Linked DNA regions of Oryzias latipes. The main gene of each other region encodes a partner of the protein of the gene in region 3 in a complex. Links are inferred from orthologs where the notes say so. Each region holds a gene or a part of one and is shown on either strand. Other genes may lie near its edges.

Region 1 (4,060 bases), on a different chromosome or scaffold from region 3:
CTTTTTCCGATTATAATAAATGTTTACATGCGCCAGATGATCTTCTAAACGTGCTTTTATTATTGTTATGATTATTATGAAGCGCCTGCTTGCTCATTATTTATTTTTAATCTTTGTGGTCAGCTCTTTTTTTTCTGGGAGAACGGACCCGGAAGACGTTAGCGTTAGGAGTAGAAGGCTAACATGCGCTAACAACATTTAGCCTTGGATGAACATAAAATCCATGGGGGAAACGCCGCAATCTGCATCTTGGCTACATGTAAATATGTGGGAATAACATCAGCCTTTATTTTGTCGGGACACGAATGGAAACACAAATCCACGTGATTGTTTGAACGGTTTCTAAGGACTGAGCGACATTTCTGCTTTAAGCACACACCGCCCCAAAGCCGCTGTGTGCTCTGCTCGAAGACACAGTTCTACTGGGAGACCCGGCTCTCCTGAGTTTAGCAGCTCGTTCACCTAGAGCTGCAGTCCAAAGCCTCCCACTCATAGCACACACGTTACAAAGCACCCTCTCCTCCCCTCAAACACAAAGCTATAAGTCTGGCTTCTCTGCTCAGAGACACGGTTCACTCGATCCGATCAACAATCGGCATAACCCACCTATCTCGATTGGAAAGAAATTTTGATCAGAACAAGTCTGATCGGGGCAGAGTATTCCGAACGGCGTGTTTACATGACACATTTTTCTTCCGATCAGGTGTTCTTTCCAATTACTTTTGTCCATATAAACGCAGCTAGTAAGATAAACACAGATTTTGAAAAATGTTTTGAGTCAATAAATTGGAAAATTATGCAGTTTATACTTGTTGCATCTTAATATAAAAATGATGGGTGGAAAGGTGTGGATTTTACATGGTCTATTGCACTTTGTTTCATAAATGTCTCGAATTCTGCACTTGTGAAGCATGTCCCATTGTCTGATACCAACATCTTTGGAGGACCAAACACACTGAAACTCTGTCGCAATTTTTCAATGGTGATTTGTGAAGTAGCTGATTTCACCGAATAAATGGTTTTAGGTCATAATGGTTCTTCATCAGTAATACAAGCTCATTGAAGGACTTGTCTTTTGGCTTGTCTGGGCTGAGGAGGTTCGCATAAACTGTAGGTCGGTGCTCCAACTACACTTATCAACATTGCCTTTTGTCTGTCTTGATTGTCTATTTCATTGGCCGCAAAAAACTGTTCAAGTATTTCTGTATACTTAACCCAAGTTTGAGTCTTTGGATCAAACGCTGCTGGCGTGCCAATTGTTGCCATGCTTCACTTCTGTGGGAGGTTAACCACGTATCTTTCTGCTGCTTCTTTCTTCTTTTCTTTCTCTCTCTTTTTCTAAGGTCTATGGGCTTTTCTCCTCCTTAAAAATCCTCTTCACCAAAAAGATGTTGCATCTTCATATAAAAATGAAGGTCCCACACATTGAACTGGGTGCAACAGTTTTTCATTTGCATAACAGAACCTTTCTGAACAGTGGATGCTGTCCACCATGGTTCCTGACTTCTTCGTCTGTCACCACACGGCGCTACAACTCAATGAAACTTGTAGGCTTGCCCTCTGGTGGCCACTTACCTAATTACAATACAATATTAAACCAACAATCTTCTCAAATTCAACATACCACATTACTAAAAAATAAAAAAATAAATAAAAAAAGTAAGATGCGCTTTCAAACAATGCCTCAGAAATCAGTGAAATTATTTTATAGAGATATAAAAAAAAATTCAACAGCCTTACTTTGTTTTGAAGCGTTCCCGATGCTGTCCTTAAAGGCAGCCACTTTCTGATGGCTGTGGATTTCATCATCAGAAAGTCGGGCTATTCTCTCTGAGAACTGCTCCTTCACTTTGTCAGAAAGGCCGAACAAGGCCTCTGGTTGCTGTGCATTCACCTGCACCAAAGTGAGGCATATTAGATCATTTCTTTTTAGACTTATAAAAATGAGTCTGCGCTTTACAAACACGGATCTAATCAAAGCACAAACAAGCAAAAATAGGGACAGATAACGCTGCAGTAAATGACCTAAATGAATTATTGTTTTTAAACCTGATCCTCATCATAATAGTTACCTCGGATGTAACTTCTTTTGCGATGTCTACAAAGATGTTAATCTCCCTGTCCAGCTTGGCACAGTCCAGGATCATGGTCTCCAGCTCTTTGATGGAAGAGTTCATCTCTTCATCTGAAATGTAAAAAATATACACAAATATAAACTCAATTATTACAAAATATAAGTGCACGCTGAATGGAGCTTGGTCACATGTTTAGCATAATTGCGATAAAACACCATGTTCTTGGACTGCTTCACTATACTAACTGATCCTAGAAGAATAAAACCCATTTCTGATCACGTTTGCAGAAAATGATGCAGGCTCCGAATGTTTACCCTGAGATTCCACCACATCTATGGCAACGTCCGTCACGATGTCCATCCCCGTCGCAATGTCTGCCAAACACGATTTTAAATTGGACAATGCGCCGTTGACAGCACTCAGAGACATTGTGTTCGTAACTTTTATCCCTAAAGTCCAAAGAAAAATCACTGTGTGTTCACCGTTATTGATATCTTCCTTATGTTAACGGCTAGCTAGCTAACTGCTAGCCTTATACTCGCGCCGTCTTGCGAAAAGATGAGATATGCCAATGTATCTCAAAATAGAAAAAAAAACAAAAAAGATAAGTAACTATTCTTAATTCAAAGTACAACCAAAGATCAAACGATAACAAAAAAATAAGAAGGAAAAGGAAGAAAAGTAGTAAACATTTGAGATGAACGGAAGTTACAGTTTCACTTCCGTTTGTTTCTTCAAACTAAAAGCCATCAAATAAATTCATAAAGAAAACAACGAGCAGTAAAGAATTATACTGTATTTATTGATAAACAATACCACAAAATATTAGTATGGAAATGTTTTTGATTGAGCATTAAATGTACAGTTTATTAATACAAAACTTTATTGTTCTAGAAAATGAAATATGAACTACTTCTTGAAGCTTTTTTACATTTGACATTGTGGCCTTTTCTGGTTGAAATAAAAATGTATTTTTAACAAAACACATTTTGTTATAACATTGCAGAAACAGATTATAAGGCTGGGCATGAAATGTATATGGGGGGAAAAAAAGCACATCCTAATTTCTGAACAATTAATTAGAGCAAAATGATTGTTGCTTCTACCACAAAAATCTTTGCCACTAGATCAAGACTAATATAAACAAAGAAAAGTACAGTACAAACAAAGACTGCATCTTCAGTTTGATGTCCTTGTCCGGGGGCTCACAAAATAGTTCTGAATTCGTCAAAAATGAAACTGGGTACATGAGCTTCAACCACCTTAAAACAGATAGATAATAAAAAGAAATGCATGTTAACAATCCTTCAAGTTTGTAAAAACAAGCTGTCTTAGCATGACATAGCAATTCTTTTTCTTCCAGATACCTTTAAAATAAACCACCTCTAAAGTAACTGTTTTCTTACCTTGCGTGACAGTTTTGTGTATTTTACATAGTCTTCAAGGAACATCAGGGCCCCCACAACATCAGAGGGCATTTCAGGGATTTTCTGGCTGTGACACCAGTAAAAGACAAATTTAAGAAAACTGCAAACAATGGGTTTGATCAAAATGTTAAACTTTTAGTTACCTTGTGCACTGCTCCATAACAGAGCGGATGAACTGTCCAAGCAGAGCAAGGAAGTGCTGTGTGTATCTGGAGTGGAACTGCTTGAGCAGGGTGAGCAGACCCAGCACTAGTGGGGGCCAGTCGACAGGATCGGTTGCTTTCTTGCAGGTCATTCCTTTTACACAGAGAAAATCCTTAACTTGGCGTGTACACAGAAAAAGTCACCACAGAAATTCACAGATTCCAATCCATCAAGCTAAGATAGCGAGAAGTGAAACGCACCTTGATTTTTGTTGTACTGAAGTTTAGGCAGCTGAGCAATGATAAACAGGAGGTTGATGATGGGGAAGTAAGGAAGACGCTTTGTGGTGATGTAAATCTGTTTGAACCAAAAAGAAATAAACATTGTTTACTGGTGAAATGTGGCATTTTTAAC
Region 2 (4,263 bases), on a different chromosome or scaffold from region 3:
AGACATTTTGGCAAACTCACCAACTTTTTCCTGTTGGGAAAAACACAACATGAAGGAACTTGAGCAGTTTTCTGTCTATTAAACCCTTGGCACTTTCACAAACACATACCTGAGGAAGAAACTGGCAGAGGTTGCCGACTTGAATTTGCAGAGCCTTGACCTCCTCTTCTACCGTTTTCTGGTTGCAGTGTTTCCCATTCAGCATCCAAAGGGACTGATTATTTTCCACATGGATCTCCCTGTTAATGACTATGTTACCTCCTGTTTTGTACCTTCAACAACAGAACAGAGACAGTTACAAAAAATAAGTATGTTTAAGGGCACCAATGTTAAGGAGCTGTAAGCTTTTTCTATAAAACAACTGTGGCTGAAATGTCTGTTTTTAAAAGAATGAGTGACTTTGTGGAAATTATTTCACATAACTTACAATTCAATCTCAATGGACCCTTTATGGCAGCCACGCTTCACATAAAGCCCAACCTGAAAAAAAGGTAAAGGAAGTCAAACCTGTTTAAAGTCCTTGCAGCAATTCTAACTTTTTTCCAAAAATGTATACATTTCTGTGCTTTTTTCTCTCCTTTTTTCCCTTTTTGTCCTTTTCTGTGTATTGAACATTGCAACACCCCCTTGTTTGTTAAGTGATTTATAGGTTTAGGTTTGTCCTACCGGTACATGTTTTTGCTTTGTTTGTATCATTGAACTCAAAATAAGGGGTAAAAAACGTCTATGTGCCATTTCGTTTTATTTCTGTAATGTCCCTGTTGTATTTGAGTGAACTTAAAATCTATAACAAACATAAGTTGGAAGCATATTTAATTGATAAGGACAAGTGTGAAGAATAGTTAGAAACTGCCTTTAACTTTTATTACACTAATGGTTTAAACTTAAGTCACTAAGCATGTATTATCATCTCAAAATTATATTACATTTGAAGAAAGCACAACCAAGACTGTTTTCTCATAGCATTCCTCATCCTCCCTTTTTCCTTTTTGTGTGTGCTGGTGTTTGTGCTGTTTGTGACACTTGAAGCTTCTTGACCTTCGAGCATCTCGCCTGCAACAACCTGTGGCCGTGATTTTCACACCACTGTCCAGTGTATGATCTTCTGAATATGCAAATGCAGGGTTCTTATACCAAGACCATCTCTCTGAGCTTCGGTGTTCAGACTTTGAATGCACTATATTCATCTGTCTGTCCCCTTCGTGTTTGTACGAAGTAAAACTTCCACAAAAGATAAGTTTTGTCTCTGAGTCATTATTCATTCGTTTCTGTGTGCAGCAAACTGAAGGGTACGACCTTAACCTTATTTTTATCTACAGTCCTGTTTAGAATGATCAGTTTCCTCACAACAAGTAAATATTTGGCCAAAGTTTAAGTGAGTCATGGGATGCAACATTGCTGAACTGTTCAAGGTTAAGGCTTCTGTCAAAATCTACCAGTTACTCTGATCTTTTATAGAGAATCTCATCAACACACTTCAACTAAATAAATCCCAACAGTACATTTACCTTATCTCCTCTCCCCAGAACAGCGGTCTTTCCAGCCAGGCCCAGACAGATGGCACAAACAATGCTGGACTTGCCAGTTCCATTTGCACCAACAATCATGTTCAGATTTGGTCCAGGACACACCACAGAGTAGTCATAGGTCCTGCCAAAGTACAGCGAAGACACCGGTCATTTTCCAGCCACATGCAGGAAAGTCACACTTTAATTCTTCAAACAAAAAACATCAACATTACGGGTTTTATCTGTTTTTCAACAATTCAATTAAATTAATGATACGAGAAGAAGATTAAAGCACAGTGACACACAACGCGATTTTAACACAATAAACATACATAAAGGTACTCGTAGAAACCTGTTTATGTGGTTTGTGGAACTGTAAAACTCATGCTTGACACTAGTACACTGAATGTTACTGAAGACTGAATCTCACATTTTCTAATACTGTTCAAAGATGATGCAGAAATGCAATGAAGTGTAGAGAACTGTGTTTTACACTATATTAATGCACTTTTCATCTATTCTGTAGATTCTGTCATTCTTGTTGCAAATCATGTGATGTTTTTTTCCCTTTATTGAATATTATGACAATTTAAGGATGTTGGAAGATTTCAGTTAACATCACTGAAAATAATTCAGATGACATTAAATTGGCACTTTCAGTTTTGGGTTGTCAAACTCTCAGACACAAATGTGACATTGGCTCTTTGCTTTTAATATTTTCCAAATTTTGTAAATTAAAAAAAGACGAAAAAATACATTTGAGTTTAAAGACGTAAGAATAACAATTACTGGTAGACTACATCATATCCGAACCTGACAAAAGAGTTTTCATTTTTCTAAAGTTGAAGTCGTTTAGAATTAAAATACATAACATACACAACTGATGAGTTCTACGTTAACGGAGCAAAAACAGCCCAGCTTACTGACTTTATTCCTCTTCTACAACATCGGTAAACCAAAACACGCTTCAGTAAAACATATCATATGTCAGCTTGTCAGAGCAAATGTAGAGGCTAAGCTTTTACGGTAGTTTGGCGTTAGCATAGCTAGCTTAACTAGTGTGACTAGTGAAAAGGAGGTGGAACTTACAGGAAGTTTTTCATGGTGATGCGCAGAATGGAGCCCTCCACAAACGGATGAGCTTCATCGACATCCCTGGTCTTATAGAAGGCCTTGGAAGGAGTCTGTGAACTGTTGTTATGGTGGCTGAGCCGCTGCTTCTTACTAGGCTCAGCCATGTCAACAGACACTGATATACTAGTGATGGGAAGAACAGTTTGCCCTGCCGCGCTTTCCCGAGGCAAAGCTGAAAGATGATTGGTGAAGATAGGTCACGTGTGTCCACATTTGATGACGTAAGATTCTAAACAGTGCCCCACCCCCCCCCAAAAAAATGTTTTACTCTTTTATACTGAGAAATAAAGTAACCAGTATTTGAAACATTCTGTACTAAATAGAAACACCTGTACATATTTAAACTGTTTACATTAAACAAACTCTCTCACAGTTATTAATTTTATACTAGTGCAACCTCCTCCAAGCCCCAAAAAAGGGCACTGTTTTTTTATTTTTTATTTAACCCTGTTAAATTAATAAATAAACACAATTTTAAAAAGATATTTGTAAAAGACAACTATTTTTGTTGTTGCAATGGGATCAGATTATGTCTTGAAGTGTGTGTGGTGCAGGATCTGGAGCAGCCCACCAGCAACTAATTGTTGTTGTTTTTAAGTTTAATTCAAACATGTTAATAATAAGATAAATATTCTCTATTACTTGCCTGGAAATAAAGAGGAATGTTTTAAGCCTAACTTGGAATGTAGAAACTGTGTTGGCCTCTCTTACATGAACTGGGAGCTTATCCCATAGAACAGGGGCTTGATGGCTAAAGGCTCTACCTCCAAATAAATACAACTGTGTATGATCCGCATAACAGTGACAATCAATAGTGGGCAGCGTATAAAGCATAAAGGGGAAGGGTCCTAGAACTGAGCCCTGTGGGACTCCGTAGCTAACTCGAGTTCCATGAGAGGACTGTCCATTTACATTAACAAACTGGTCCCTATCGAATAAATAGGATTCAAACCACTGGAGGGCAAATCCTCTGATCTCTATGTCATACTCTAATCTTTGGAGTAAAATACTGTGGTTGATAGTGTCAAAGCCTGCACTGAGGTCTAACAGGACCAGAATAGACAGTAGTTCCTTTTCTGAGGCCAATAATAAGTCATTAGAGACTCTATATAGTGCAATTTCAGTGTTGTGGTGTAGTTTGAACCCTGACTGAAAATCTTCAAATTGACTATTGTCCTGTAGGTGGCGGTAAAGCTGCTTAACTACCACTCATTCTATGATTTTTGAAACAAAGGGGAGATTTTTTTTCTTCTTTACTTTATTATAAAGGGGAGATTTGATATTGGACTATTGCAGGCCAGATTGCCGGGATCTAAATTGAGCTTTTTTAGAATAGGTTTCACAACTACATATTTAAAAGACTGTGGCACATAACTTGTTTCTAGAGAGGTATTTATTATACTTAATAAATACTATAATAAATAATAGTTGCATTTGATCAGGTGACTTTCCAAATAAATCTCCATTTCATCACTTCTCCACCATTCGCAGCAGTTTTGAATTCAGAGCAGCCTATGAACATGCCCGTTCTTAAAGAGAGACATAACTCATTCTGTGTTTGTGGCTTTGCCGTTGAGAGAGTAGTAATGAGTCTGACAACAGGAAAGCAAGCAAAACATGG
Region 3 (3,500 bases):
AGATCTGCATCATGTGACTATTTCAAAGTATGGATGTGTGACGTCAGCACACATTCTCTATCATTGTTGATATGATAAATGTTCCACTGATCATTTCCTGATCTGTTGTTTAAAGTGTTCCCAGTGGTCTTTTAACGATGATGTGGTTTTTAGCCAAAATCCAAAAAACTAAGACAGACCTAGGACATAGTTTCTGCAGAGTGGCAGGAGTTCATTAGAAATCATTGGAGAAGTTACAATCTTAAATGTCCTCCATCGTCAGAAAAAGGTTCAAAGAACATGTAAAAAACACCAAACACAGGATTTTCATCAGAGTGGGTCTACAACTTACATCTATCCATAGATCTCCACCTTTTCTGGGAGCGGGTGGAGATCCTGTCGGCTTACCTCACACAGCCATTTGTCGTGCACGAGTCGGCTCAGGAGGTGCTCCGTCTCGCTCTTCTTCAGCTTTTTGGTGGTCATGGTGTCAGTACTGTTTAGGATGTCGGTGGAAGACGCCTTTCCGTTCTCAGAACACACAATCAGATCCACCTGGATGGAACCAAAGTCCCAGCAAATGTCTTGGTTACCAGAAGCTGAACACTACCAGGACACAAATGATGAGGGAGGGGGGTCTGTTAAAGACGTCTGTCATGTCAAACCTCTATCCATCCCTCCACCCATCCATCCACCCACCCATCCATCCCTCCACCCATCCATCCACCCATCCATCATCCATCCATCCATCCCTCCCTCCCTTCCTCCACCCATCCATCCATCATCCATCCATCCATCCATCCACCCATCCATCCATCCATCCATCATCCACCCATCCATCCATCCATCATCCATCCCTCCCTCCCTCCATCCACCCATCCAGCCATCATCCATCCATCCATCCACCCATCCATCCATCCATCATCCATCCATCCCTCCCTCCCTTCCTCCATCCATCCATCCATCCAACCATCATCCATCCATCCATCCATCCATCCATCATCCATCCCTCCCTCCCTCCATCCATCCACCCATCCATCCAACCATCACCCATCCATCCATTCATCCATCCATCCATCATCCATCATCCATCCACCCACCATCCATCCACCTATCCACCCATCCATCCATTCATCCATCCATCCATCTATCCATCATCCATCCATCCATCCATCCATCATCCATCCATCCCTCCCTCCCTTCCTCCATCCATCCACCCATCCATCCAACCATCATCCATCCATCCATCCATCCATCCATCATCCATCCCTCCCTCCCTCCATCCATCCACCCATCCATCCAACCATCATCCATCCATCCATTCATCCATCCATCCATCATCCATCATCCATCCACCCACCATCCATCCACCTATCCACCCATCCATCCATTCATCCATCCATCATCCATCCCTCCCTTCCTCCATCCATCCACCCATCCATCCAACCATCATCCATCCATCCATCCATCCATCATCCATCCCTCCCTCCCTCCATCCATCCACCCATCCATCCAACCATCATCCATCCATCCATTCATCCATCCATCCATCTATCCATCATCCATCCATCCATCCATCCATCCATCCATCCATCCATCCATCCACCCCTCATCCATCCATCCACCCATCCATGCATCCATCCATCCATCCAACCAATCATCCATCCATCATCCATCCACCCATCCATCCATCCATCCAACAATCCATCCATGCATCCATCCATCCATCCATCCACCCATTCATCCATCCAACTTCAAAGTTGAAGACTTGTATAGTATTTTCAGTCTAAAATACTATGTTTATGTACTAATAACTCCAAAATAACTACACAAATTTTTGTGATGAGATTTCTTCGTCGTGTGAATTCTTATTTTTGTAGTAACACATCATTAGAACAGATAAGGCATTTTGTTCTGAAAACAGCTCTGCTGTAAACCGTGTCATGGGGGAAACATGACGTTTCTTTATTTTTTTTATTTTTTTTTTCCTTATAATCTTTATTTAGGTAGGAAATGTGAGAAGCACATTCATTTGAACAACTTTAATAAGTTCCATTAAGTGAAGTTAATAAGCACTTCAACTTTGAATTTACATAATTTCTACCTTACAGCTTTTATTGTGAATTTTTTTTTTCTTTTTTTTTTTTTTTAACTTGTCCTGTCCAACAGCTGGGCAGACAGACGAGAGCTGAGGGCCTCTTGTGTTGGACATATTTTGCTTTAACAAGAGGGGTTATTAATCTTCTGACAAACCAAAGGTATGTCTGAATAAACCCCTTTTGTAATTGAGGCCAAACTTTATTAATTTCAATCATGTCTGAAAATCTTTGGTGTTGGACCGGACGGAAAAGGAAAGAGGGGAAGAAGAGAGAGGGACGCTAGAGAGAGGGGGCGGTAGGGGGTGATAATAGGAGGGGAAGGGGGATAAGACTATGAAGCAGCATAGAGCAGACAGGTTTACTGGTTGTTAATCATTATGGTAAGGTTCAAATGCAGTACAAAAATGGCGGGGCCCGTCCACACACACACTCAAATGTTATAAACACACCTGCTAGCTGCAAAAATGTCCACCTGTCGACATGTACACAAAACAGATAGTGTTCACACGCATACTTATGCCTTAAAACCAACTAGTGTGAAATATTTCAGTCATTCAGTCATGCAAGCTATTAGTGCAAAGGTGAGCTAACACCAGTGCTCAGGTGAGGTTTTATGTTCTTCTAAAATGGATGGTGGAACGTGAAAAGAAGGAGGGAGAGTGCCCAGCCATCCCCACCCCAAGACCCCTACCGCAGCAGCAGCGGCAGCCGGAATCCCCCCAACGCCACACGGGAACCGGCAGGGAACAACCGCCGCCCGGTCGACCAAGCCCGCCACCCAGGCCAGGGCCAGCAGGGCCGCCGCAAGGCCCCCAGAGCCAGAGGCCAGGGAAGCACGGAGGGAAAGAGAGCGCCGCCCCAGCCCAACCAGGAGAGCAGCCCCCCCGCCGCGCCGGGAGAACCCAACGCAGAGCCCCACCGGAGAAGGACGCCCACAGCCCCAAACAAGCACCCCACCACCACCCAGGAGTTCCGGGCATCCCCCCGCCCCAACCCCAGGTACGAGCCAGGACCCCCCAAGGGAGACCCGCTCCGCACTCCAGGCAGCCATCCGCCCGGCCCACGGTTGGTCCAGGGAGGAGCGAGGCAGGGGGCCCGCCGCCCCCGCCCAGGAGGGGGGAACCGCGGGGAAAAAAAGAGGGCCCACAAGGGGTGTTATAAATATGGCCCGACCAGGCTCGGCCACAGTTGGAAATTTGGCGGGGCCCAGCACTCAGGAGCAAGGACCAGAACCCACCCCCCAGGGACCAGATACCCCCGGCACAGATGTAATGTGAACTCCCCCACCGCGCGGAGAGAGCACCGCCGGGCCCAGGAAGCCGGCACCCCGGGGACACGGCCGCCGTTGCAAAGGGGCCCGCACCCCCCACCAGGGAAGAGGCAGGGGACAGATGGACCCAGGTCCCACCTTCCTTGCAAAAT

Evidence for each region.
Region 1: nsmce1 (region 3) and nsmce2 share a complex: the UniProt entries of both Homo sapiens proteins name them as parts of the SMC5-SMC6 complex. The link is inferred for Oryzias latipes from reciprocal best matches to the Homo sapiens genes NSMCE1 and NSMCE2.
Region 2: nsmce1 (region 3) and smc5 share a complex: the UniProt entries of both Homo sapiens proteins name them as parts of the SMC5-SMC6 complex. The link is inferred for Oryzias latipes from reciprocal best matches to the Homo sapiens genes NSMCE1 and SMC5.

The regions. Positions count from the first base shown.
Region 1 is NC_019874.2:13,948,426-13,952,485, reverse strand, and holds the start of nsmce2 (E3 SUMO-protein ligase NSE2), read right to left. Parts: upstream 2,801-4,060; 5' UTR 2,505-2,800; coding exon 2,390-2,504; intron 2,186-2,389; coding exon 2,073-2,185; intron 1,895-2,072; coding exon 1,741-1,894; intron 1-1,740. Other genes in the region: washc5 (WASH complex subunit 5), read right to left, coding at 3,281-3,337, 3,482-3,569, 3,646-3,799, 3,907-4,003. UniProt on the Homo sapiens protein: E3 SUMO-protein ligase component of the SMC5-SMC6 complex, a complex involved in DNA double-strand break repair by homologous recombination. Is not be required for the stability of the complex.
Region 2 is NC_019865.2:11,201,561-11,205,823, forward strand, and holds the start of smc5 (structural maintenance of chromosomes protein 5), read right to left. Parts: upstream 2,801-4,263; 5' UTR 2,747-2,800; coding exon 2,598-2,746; intron 1,651-2,597; coding exon 1,509-1,650; intron 481-1,508; coding exon 428-480; intron 273-427; coding exon 110-272; intron 31-109; coding exon 1-30. UniProt on the Homo sapiens protein: Core component of the SMC5-SMC6 complex, a complex involved in repair of DNA double-strand breaks by homologous recombination.
Region 3 is NC_019859.2:37,070,588-37,074,087, forward strand, and holds part of nsmce1 (non-structural maintenance of chromosomes element 1 homolog), read right to left. Parts: intron 535-3,500; coding exon 388-534; intron 1-387. UniProt on the Homo sapiens protein: RING-type zinc finger-containing E3 ubiquitin ligase that assembles with melanoma antigen protein (MAGE) to catalyze the direct transfer of ubiquitin from E2 ubiquitin-conjugating enzyme to a specific substrate.